3 linked regions of the Bombyx mori genome follow. The protein of the gene in region 3 purifies or fractionates together with the protein of the main gene of each other region. This does not show direct contact. Links are inferred from orthologs where the notes say so. Each region holds a gene or a part of one and is shown on either strand. Other genes may lie near its edges.

Region 1 (4,135 bases), on a different chromosome or scaffold from region 3:
GAGTCGGTTAGCATGCGGAAACAACTTGTTTCTAGTCAGCAACTGATACGTGTTCAGTGCTTCAGTGTACATCTCGTTCAGTGCGTACTGATCCGCCAAGTTACAAAGCACCTGCAATTTATCATAATAATATTGAATTTATTTTTATCTCTAAACAAGATATAATACCTAATTGTATGTTTAATTATCTATGCATACGAACATCGCTCACATCACATGATGGACTTGGAAATTAAATAGCACAAATGCTAGAATTTCAGGGAAGGTTTTTGAAGTAGTACCATCTGCGTATCACGGGTAGCAGCGAGTAGATTTAACCCTTTGACTGCCCTGTAGGTCACCGGTGCCCTACGTGGCGCACTGAACTAATGATGTCGATTTCTTTTACGAAGGCACTTGGATTGCCTAACTTTACCTTTTCTTCTCTATTAATGTACCTTTTAGTTTTTAAGGTCTCTTCGCAATATATTCATTCTCAGTATCTTCGGACTCGTCTTTCCCAGAGTCTACTAGATGTTCCACCGCCTTAGTAACATAAATCAACACGTCACGTGGGGCACCAGTGGCTTACATGGCAGTCAAAGAGTTAATAAATGGGTGTATTTCATACATAGTCTGTGACAGTGAAGGATTGTCACGGGCAATGTGACAAGGTTTAGGTTTAAAACTTTATTCAGCTTACAAAGCGGCTATGGCTGCTTTAAAATATTTTTTTATACTTTAGATTTTGTAGTATTGCTAATATAATTTACGTAATTGCTAATGGTAAAGTTTCTTGGTAGCCCACACGGATAAGTACGATAATCCTGCCTATTTTTCCGCAGTTGTCATACAAAAAGTTGGAAGTTAAGTCGTACATACAGCAAAAGTCAAATCCAAGTTGTGAGTGTCACCCAAGTTCGCTTGTTCTTGCATGCGAATAAGCTGTCGTTCCATCGTGGACGCCTCTTGAGCCTTTGCAAGTGCCTTTAAAATAACGTTTAATATTTTATTTTTTACATTAGATAAATTTACGTACTTCCATAGGTTATATAGTTACAACAGACGAGATTAAGTTTTTTTTACAAGAATTTAATTTTTACATCGCGTACGTCATTGATAAAAACGTTCGAGGGTCGTAGTATCGTTGAAAAAAAAAATAGTCAAGGGATTTAAGGTTCCGTAGAGTCGCATCGCTTTATAATCATTTTTCAATCACAGATCGCCTTCTATTATGTGTATAAACCAAATAATCATTATACAATTTGTTATCTTATTAAAAATTCAACAAAAGCTAACCTGGCCCAAGTCATGTTCTTTTCTAGTAGTACTATCATCATCAGGATCTGGTCGGGCGCTCAGTAAACAAGACTCCTCCACCAATGCCATGATTCGTGCTTCCATTTGCTTAACGCGATCTTCGACGCTGTAACACGCATCAATTTAATTTAAGAGCACCTACAAGTGTTTCTAAAATCCAGGCCAAAGTTTGGGAGCCAGTCAAACTAAATTTACTTGCTAAATATCAATGTCGACTACTACTGGTACTCTAGGAAGAATTTAAATATTTTGTACAACATTTTGGAACAATTCATTGATATTCTAAAAACAAGGTATAAATAATAACATATTTAAATAATAATAGATACTATATATAATAAATATATATAATAAAAATATCTACGTATGAAATTTAACTTTACTTTTTATTACATTTACGAATTGAGGAATCAGTGATTATAGTTGAATTTTCATCATTACTCGAATACTAATATTTCTAACTTTTTAATGTCGAATTTAATAAATAAATTAAATTTCAATTAGTAATCTGTTATTTCGTATTTAGAAATTTGATGTTGATTGAAAAATGATTAAATACACCTGTCTTCCAAATGTTGAGTGGGCATGGGTCGATCGCGTGACGCCGAGGTGTACCCAGCAGCGCGCAGTGCGGTCACGGGACGTGCTGATGTACCGGACCTCGAACCCACGTCTCGCATGCTTACCGTGCCAAGCCGCACCATCTACCAATTATAATTACGTTCCTCTAAGACGCGTTAGCAGTAGCGCAGTCTACCTGGAGATTAAGACTCTGATTCTGACTGAGTGAACAGAATTAGGCTGATGGCTACGATGGTAAGGAGTCGGATCGAACATGTACCACCATTTTAGTAAATATGTTAACATGATCGTCTCAATTACGCCATATATACCTACACTTGAGAATATTACAAAGTCCAGCAATGAAAATATATACTTTTTTTAATAGATTTACAAGATGCAAATATGTAATCACTACATAGTATAAAACAAAGTCGCTTTCTCTGTCCCTATGTATGCTTAAATCTTTAAAACTGCGCAACGGATTTGGATGCGGTTTTTTTAATAGATAAAGTACTTGAAGAGGAAGGTTTATATTATATATAATAACATCCATTAAATAGTGGATAAATCAATAATAAATTACAGTTTCCGAAGCGAAGCGAAGTCGGGTCGCTAGTATTTAATAAATAATATCAAGTGGTGGAGAATTGAATGAATACTGACCCCAGTGCCCGTACGGCTGGGTAACTTTCTCCCGATCCCAGCCGTTCTCAAAGTTTCCTGGAACGTTTCGTCTTCCCTCAGGTTCCGCGTGTCCAGGGCCGGAGCCACTTCATTAAACCCGGAATAAAGTTCGTCATCTTCATCAACAATGATGGCCGTACGAGGTTTTGCGTCGGTGCCCAGTCGGGACGCGCTGTAGTACCGAGAACTTAGCATCTCTTAAATCTCTTAAAAATAAATTTATCAAGTGAAATCTTATTGGAGTATCCCGACCTGTTTAATACGTATGTTGTGACGCCGTTACCATGTCAACCGGCTGATATAAACAAAAAAGACAATTGTTCAGTCTCTATGGATCAAACGGTTTTTTTTTCTTGTTAATAACATTACTGGTGGCCCGAAGGCCTTTCTAGTTTCAGTAAGGTATCTAATAAAACCAATAATTATTTACGTATACCTAAATATGTAACTTTAACAGGTCCTATTCGTTGTACGATTCCGCTTTGTACGGTAAAGCCCTAAACACGTCATTTCGGATCCTCCTGATCCACTAACGGGGCTTTTAGGTAGGTACCGGCCATCGTTCTCGTCAAACCCATCGCTTGCGACAAAGGGCTCGGCGGGTAAAGTAACTTACACACACAGCCCACCGAGTTTCTCGCTAAATCTTCTCAGTGGGTCGCGTTTCTGATCTGGCGGTAGATTCTGCGAAGCACTGCTCTTGTTAGGGTTAGTGTTAGCATTGTCGTCAGGTTATAGCTCCGCGAGCTCATGTACTTGTTAGGTTAAGCTGACATAGCCTCTCAAGGCTTATCAGCTAAAGTAGGGAAAAAAATACGGTAAATGTTTTTTTCAACGTTGTCTTACCGACTAGGCCTCGGAGGTAACAGATTTGTTCGCTAAGGTAAAAAAAAAAACGTAAATTTTCAATCTCTATATTTAAAATTTATGACATGTTCAGTAATCAATACATTCAAGTCCATTTCAATATCGTCACACCAATTTAAACAAAATTAATAATTTCAAACTAAATTTAACAACTAACTGAAAAGATTTAAATCACATGACAAACTGGTACACCCTTCTTGTACAAGAACAGTGTTGGAAGACACTGAAAATTACAGATTCCTGTTTGACTACAGAAAAAATATCCGTCACAAAAAGTAATCTATAAACTACTACACTTATATAGTAATAATAAATTGAAAATACGTAAAACAATGAACGAACCACAACTTCCGCGCGCTGCTCCTGACCGATCTTTATCCAATCACATAAACATTCTGAATAAACTGGATATAAAAATAAATGTTCTCCAAAAACTCTATTCGTCTTCGTCGAAAGCAATAACAAACGTTACAAACTATGTACACATTAATATGATTTTGCTTTTCATGATAATCCGATCGTATAGTCTACATAAATTATCAAATAAAAAAAAAATAAGGATGTCAATTAATTCGTGACCCTAAAAGACTAGTTAGAAATGCAGTATTCATATTTTTGTACACTTTTTCGCTTATCATTAAGATAACACCAGTTTAAAGTAGCCTATAAACAGAGATAATATGACTTAGTTGTTAAAAACAATTGTAATTATGTTGTATAA
Region 2 (3,478 bases), on a different chromosome or scaffold from region 3:
CAGAGCGCAGCCCTAGCCCTAGGACAGTGGTTCCGAAAATGGCGCATAGACATCAACCCAGCGAAAAGTACTGTGGTACTATTTCAGAGGGGAAGCTCCACACGGATTTCCTCCCGGATTAGGAGGAGGAATCTCACACCCCCGATTACTCTCTTTAGACAACCCATACCCTGGGCCAGGAAGGTCAAGTACCTGGGCGTTACCCTGGATGCATCGATGACATTCCGCCCGCATATAAAATCAATCCGTGACCGTGCCGCGTTTATTCTCGGTAGACTCTACCCCATGATCTGTAAGCGGAGTAAAATGTCCCTTCGGAACAAGGTGACACTTTACAAAACTTGCATAAGGCCCGTCATGACTTACGCGAGTGTGGTGTTCGCTCACGCGGCCCGCACACACATAGACACCCTCCAATCCCTACAATCCCGCTTTTGCAGGTTAGCTGTCGGGGCTCCGTGGTTCGTGAGGAACGTTGACCTACACGACGACCTGGGCCTCGAATCAATTCGGAAATACATGAAGTCAGCGTCGGAACGATACTTCGATAAGGCTATGCGTCATGATAATCGCCTTATCGTTGCCGCCGCTGACTACTCCCCGAATCCTGATCATGCAGGAGCCAGTCACCGTCGACGCCCTAGACACGTCCTTACGGATCCATCAGATCCAATAACCTTTGCATTAGATGCCTTCAGCTCTAATACTAGGGGCAGGCTTAGGGACCCCGGTAACCGTACTCGTCGAACTCGACAAAGAGGTCGACGTGCAACCTAACCCATGCATCAGCCCGCTGAGTTTCTCGCCGGATCTTCTCAGCGGGTCGCGATTCCGATCCGGTAGTAGATTCATTCGCGAAACAATTGCTCTTGAGTTGTTAGGTCTCCTTCGGAGGCGCTCGGGCAGTTGTTAGCAAATCCCACCCCTCTTGGCTGAGCCTTTGCTCGCCCACCTGTCCTGGTGAAACTGGAAAGGCCTTCGGGCCACCTCAATCATAAAAAAAAAAAAGTACAGTATTTTATAGAAACACAACTACGCAATGGCGCTATAAGATTTAATCCGAAAAAACAACACTTATGTACCTTGCTCTCGAAGCATTTCCAAGTCGCTCAGTGTGACCAACTCTTCTTTCATGACGCGCGTCTTTTCCGGCAGAGTATGTAATTCAGTAGCCAACCTCTCTCGTGTTGCTGTTGCCTGAAAAATAATTCTTAATACGATACGCAATTTCCATTTGATCTACATAAACCAAATCCGCTTTTTCCTGTTCAAAACAAATATAGTTGCAACAATGAGTGTTTGTGTTTCTCAAACGAATTATTAGAAGCAATGAGAGCCAATTGTAATTTCGTTATGATGACGAAGATGCTGTGATGATCATAAGCGCGTCTTCTTAATGAATGAAACATCATTTTCTATTTATTTAAAGTACAAAAATATTAAGAATTGCCACGACCGTGATTTGGTCGGCCTCAAATGTCATATACTAAAAACCTATACCTACTTTAATATATAAATCTATAGTGATTTTTACGGATGTTCCGCTATAACTACTGAACCGTGCATCCGATTGACTTGAAACTTGGTATTCGTGTAGAAAGTACATGTACTTAATGGATAGGCTAATATTTATATGAGTGTTGGACTCCCTACACCAGTTGCGGGGGCGTTAATGATGAGAATCTTTGTGGGGTGAGAAATAATAATGTTAATTTTAAATGCCCAGCGAAGCAGACGGGTACAGCTATTAGATTATAAAACTTTACCTTTTTCAAATTTGCTTGAAAACGTTCGTAATCTTTCGTGAGTGCATCGATGGATTTCTTATTTTCATCATATGTTGACGTGTAGCCTTCCCTTTGCTTTAAACTATCTATTTCGCTAAGATCTAAGTCAATATTGGAACTGCTGTGCTCTAAAGCGAACACGATATCATTTTCCAATTGATCGATTTTATTTTGTTCATTTCTCAGATTTTCTTCGTACGTTTCCATGAACGAGTCCATTGTTTCTTCTCGCTTTTTCAATTCGCGATATTTCTGATGGCGTTCGGAGTTGCCTTCTTCGAGATCCTAAAATATATTTTATTTGAAAATGTCAAAGGGAAAAATTGAGAAACACGGATGAGTAGATTCCAAGTTCGTTTAGTTCATAGATTGGCTTTAATGGAAAATCATTTAATATCAAAATAACCAACCTGTTCAGACTGCTCAATCAATTCTTGAACTTTCTTGATCTGTTCTTTCAAATTCGTAGCGTTGTTGTCCAATACCGCTATGGCGGCGTTATCTTCTCGCACCTGAGATATTTACTAGATTAAAATGAATCAGGAATACTGACTGATAAAAATGTAATTAAAAAAAACGAAACTTTGACATTGATTTTCATCTATTAAAATGACAAACTTCTCAGAATAATTGACTCTGTAGTCGGGACGAACGTTTAAGAAAGTAAATGATCTTCGGTTGCTTTAATTTTAAATAATGAGTCAGGTATATCAACATATCTTTGAGATAATGGACTTTTAGTAGATGGTTCTGAATTTATTTTGTCGTTTGAAATTGTTTAATGATTGTTATGAACATACTTGGGACAGTAACTTCTCCCTTTCTTCCTGCGGATCCAATCGATTGTTTATTTCGTTTCTCATGTTGTCGCGTTTTTCTTCGACGGCGACCAGCCTTCGATGTAGTTCTAGAAGGTGCACTTTTATCTAGGAAACGGTGCTTCTATTAAAGTCACTTATTGGATTCGAATAGCTACGACTGTTGTAAGTCAATGTTGTGGGTAACATAAGCCTTGGCAGTATTTTGAGAATGTTTTAGAATATTAGTTTTTTCTTTCGTACTATCCACTTTTTTTGTGTAAATGGATAAACTATTATCGACCTACCTATTTGTATTACGAGGCAGTTATGCGTTTCTATTTGTCGTCTTATTGTGCGGTCCACTGACCACATGTCACATGTGTCAAATGGGCTGCAAGCTCCTGCGCTGAACTTATAACAAAAAAACGGACAATATCGATGTTGATGTTGAACAATTACCTGCGATCCCGATATTTCCCGAGCAAATTCTTCTTTCTCTCTGTTCAAGAGATCTAATTGCGTTCTGCTCTGCTCCACTTCCTCTCTTAATGCTGCAGCCGTAGTTTGCAATTCATTATACTGATCTTTTTGCTCCACCGTCATTTCGGCCAGTATCTTTGTGATCGTCGATTGTTCCTGAAATCAATATATATTGCATACGATTGCATAAAATTGCATACGAAAAAAAAAAAAAAGTTTTAAAGACACCCGGTGGCACCCGGATTTCATTTTGCGGTCTTCTCTGTGTTTGTATTAAGGAATGATTAAGTAAAGATTAGAAAAAGAGGATAAGGATTAGCTGCTTTTTGAAGTCGTTGTGGCCTAACGGATAAGACGTCCGGTGCATTCGTGTTGAAGCGATGCACCGGAGTTCGAATCCCGCAGGCGGGT
Region 3 (3,659 bases):
GTTAGTCTCGCTAAAACTAGAGAACGGCTGGACCGATTTGGCTAATTTTGGTCTTGAATTATTTGTGGAAGTCCAGAGAAGGTTTAAAAGGTAGATAAATATGAAAATGCTCAGAATTAAATAAAAATAACAATTTTTCCTTTGATGTGTCCTCCGTCGGACGGATTCCTTTTGTTTGTTTTAAGTTTATTGTATACAAAAGTTTAGGTCTTGGCACTACGAAGTCTGCCGGGTCAGCTAGTAAATAAAAAATTTTATTGCAACTGAAAACAAATTTATCTTTTAAATCCCTCGGAGAAAATAGATATTTTGTACGCGCGCACAATGTTGGAAACGATATCAAATTAATTTTAGCCGACGCCCGTCTCCCAGACAGACAGATTGATTGAGACAACGTTCCAATCGAAATTTACCTGAGATTGAAGATCGGCGAGCGTCGCCTCGTGCTGCTTCAGAGCGGCGGCGAGCTCGTGAACCCGCGTCGCGCTCGTCTCCTTGTTACGTCTGATCACGGCGGCCTGTTGTCTGAATGGAGCCAATTTGTCCTCTTGAGGCCCAGAGGTTGCTAGCTTCCGCTGAACTAATTGCTCCATTTCCCCGTTCACAACAGCGATCTATTATAATATATGAATATTTCAAATTTAAACATAACCACCAGCGGCACTCGTGGCTTCGCTCGTAACTAAATACAATTTGATAATCTCTATATATAAAATTGAATTGCTGTTCGTTAGTTTCGCTAAAACTCGAGAACGGCTGTACCGATTTGGCTAATTTTGGTCTTAAATTATTTGTGGAAGTCTAGATGAGGTTTAAAAGGTAGATAAATATGAAAATGCTTGGAATCAAATAAAAATAACAATTTTGTTTTTCCTTTGATGTTTCCTCCCGTCGGACCGATTCGTTTTATTTGTTTTAAGTTTATTTTATACAAAAGTTTAGATCTTTTATTTATCGATTGAGGCAATACGAAGTTTGCCGGGTCAGCCAGTAAAACATAAAAGCTATAAGACGATTCAGAAAGGTAACTACGTAAGATAGGGTAGGTAGGCAGCGGCTTGGCTCTACCCCTGGTATTGCTGAAGTCCACGGGCGACGGTAACCACTCACCATCAGGTAGGCCGTATGCTCTTTTCCCTACAGGGTCAATAAAAATAAATAAATATATTTTTAGGTGAACAAACATATACATACATATGTATAAATACATACTGACGTACAATCTCATTTATATAGATATGTATATATATATGTAAATGAAGCTCTCTTGGCCCTTCATTAAATATATTAAATTTCCCGCGCATTAGCTTCGACCATCATAGATAATACTACTAAGATTTACTGGTGGTAGGACCTCTTGTGAGTCCGCACGGGTAGGTACCACCACCCTGCCTATTTCTACCGTGAAGCAGTAATGCGTTTCGGTTTGAACGGTGGGGCAGCCGTTGTAACTCTACTGAGACCTTAGAACTTATATCTCAAGGTGGGTGGCGCATTTACGTCGTAGATGTCTATGGGCTCCAGTAACCACTTAACACCAGGTGGGCTGTGAGCTAGTCCATCCATCAAACTAATAAAAAAAAATGAGAGAATTTTAAATAATAATAAATGAAGGGCCAAGAGAGTTTCATGTAAATATATGTAAAGATACTACATTCCTTTATAGTATATTTTTACAGCGCTCTATAGCTCTTATGTAATCATATAGATGGCCCTGTCGATAATGGTGACATGCATTGATATTGAAGGGTTGACATCTGCCATGTTCGGGCTTATTGTCGTTTCTTTGTTTTCAGGTGAGATACCTATTATAGGTCCACAATGTGATCTGTTGTGTACGTTTTAAGTTATTAAAATAATAAAACCTTTGTTTTCAGAGCAACGCCATGTTTATTTCAACTTACAATTCCTATTTATAATTCCTAGTAAATTAAATAGAAAAAATGCTATATATATATGTATATAATATGTTGATTTCATATGAATTCGATATGTTGTTCCAAAGATAAAAATCCCTACCACCAGCGCCGCCTGTCCGACACTAACGTAACAATGTTCGTCGGAGTGAGCATGTCGCCCTTTTATGTATGTTTGCAAAGTTTCATATAAATTAGACTAACTAATCTCGAGTTTTAGGTGAACATACATACATTCTCTTTTGTATAAATAGATTACTTCCCGAAGTGTTTTTGATTGTTACTTGAATTCTACTGTCTAAAATATTGATATAAATAAATTTTAACCGATAGTATTTAGTGAATTACAATTATATAATAATAATTTACATTACATTAAGCAAAATCTCGTACAATCAAGTTCAATAGTTATGTAGGTATCTACTTACACATGTATGAACAAACAATATCTACGCTCCACTCTGGATGCCCTAATTTACTCTCAATGTAAATAACCTCATACGGAAAATTCATAACTTCGAAGCAATTACTGAGCAAATTCAATATTAACTTATAACCAAATAAAATGTTGTTTTATTTTGCGTAGGTTCAAATTTGACGTTTTAAAATTAAAATCATTTTATTATTTACTGTTTTCAAAGGTTTCTGTCCCTATGTCACTATGTATGCTTAAATCTTTAAGACTACGCAACGGATTTTGATGCGGTTTTAATAGATAGAGTGATTGAAGAGGAAGATTTGTATGTATAATAACATCCATTAAATAGTGGAGAAATCAATAATAAATAACAGTTTCCGAAGCGAAGCGAGGGCGGGTCGCTAGTAAGTAATAATACAGACAGGTAACTGTCTATTACTAATAAAGGACCTCGTTCATTCTAGAACTTGACGGTGTGAAGCATCTAAAAACTCACTGTAAATGAAAGCAGTGGGTTCAGTATAAAAAGGGTCAATACTTGTTGCGGTAAGGGGGAACAGTAAAAGTAAAATTCATTGAACGAGAATACTTCCGTTCCGGTTTTAAAAGTGGCACGGCACAGCCTTTATGTGTAAAGGCAGTGAGATAGATATATAAATAAATAAAACTCAGTTCGGTTGCAACACGTAACTGTGATGAAAGTAAGTTTTTTAAATATAAACGAACTATAGATAAATATAAATAAAACCTTATCTTGAACCACATGTAGATCCGATCGACTAGGATGTTGCTCGGCGGCGATGTTTTGCATAATGTTCAATTCCTTCTGTATGTGAGCTGCCTCTTGTGGTAATTTTTCTTTCACCAAATAACTGTTCAACTTAAAAATGAAAATAAAAAGTTATCGTATAATTCTATGTAAATTGTGGCTAAAAAAGGTTGAGATTTTTTACATTTTAATTGAAAACGAAATCATTTAGAGCCCAAGTAAAATAAAGGTTCCTAGTCTAATTTAACACATTTAGCCACTGACAACATCATATGTTGTAATTGGTGTTTAAATTGGTATGAAAGTCTTTACTGTTTTTTTTAATTTTAATCCGGATGCCTATTATAAAAGCCGCAATCCGTATATCAACAAATATAGAAAAATTGTTAGGTAATCTCTCTTTCTGTCTTGGGTCTCTAGGTTGGCACTGAGCGGCCCAAACCGGTAAAGTAAATTCTCTAAATAAATAGTATATAAGGTACATACATAAATGATGAAATGATATTTAAAACGATTAAATATAAAGAAAATACAGGTTCTCGCATTGAAACGATCA

What was found.
Region 1: the proteins of intraflagellar transport protein 81 homolog (region 3) and intraflagellar transport protein 88 homolog fractionate together in Homo sapiens (co-fractionation; 3 studies listed by BioGRID and IntAct, with this or other methods). This does not show direct contact. The link is inferred for Bombyx mori from reciprocal best matches to the Homo sapiens genes IFT81 and IFT88.
Region 2: the proteins of intraflagellar transport protein 81 homolog (region 3) and intraflagellar transport protein 74 homolog purify together in Homo sapiens (affinity purification with mass spectrometry; 3 studies listed by BioGRID and IntAct, counting the BioPlex papers as one, with this or other methods). This does not show direct contact. The link is inferred for Bombyx mori from reciprocal best matches to the Homo sapiens genes IFT81 and IFT74.

What each region holds. Positions count from the first base shown.
Region 1 is NC_085119.1:6,950,745-6,954,879, reverse strand, and holds the start of intraflagellar transport protein 88 homolog, read right to left. Parts: upstream 2,827-4,135; 5' UTR 2,743-2,826; coding exon 2,527-2,742; intron 2,004-2,526; coding exon 1,861-2,003; intron 1,406-1,860; coding exon 1,279-1,405; intron 967-1,278; coding exon 862-966; intron 112-861; coding exon 1-111. UniProt on the Homo sapiens protein: Positively regulates primary cilium biogenesis. Also involved in autophagy since it is required for trafficking of ATG16L and the expansion of the autophagic compartment.
Region 2 is NC_085111.1:14,773,251-14,776,728, forward strand, and holds part of intraflagellar transport protein 74 homolog, read right to left. Parts: intron 3,224-3,478; coding exon 3,047-3,223; intron 2,714-3,046; coding exon 2,588-2,713; intron 2,300-2,587; coding exon 2,198-2,299; intron 2,073-2,197; coding exon 1,767-2,072; intron 1,198-1,766; coding exon 1,083-1,197; intron 1-1,082. UniProt on the Homo sapiens protein: Component of the intraflagellar transport (IFT) complex B: together with IFT81, forms a tubulin-binding module that specifically mediates transport of tubulin within the cilium. Binds beta-tubulin via its basic region. Required for ciliogenesis.
Region 3 is NC_085116.1:10,003,253-10,006,911, forward strand, and holds part of intraflagellar transport protein 81 homolog, read right to left. Parts: intron 3,215-3,659; coding exon 3,083-3,214; intron 615-3,082; coding exon 414-614; intron 1-413. UniProt on the Homo sapiens protein: Component of the intraflagellar transport (IFT) complex B: together with IFT74, forms a tubulin-binding module that specifically mediates transport of tubulin within the cilium. Binds tubulin via its CH (calponin-homology)-like region.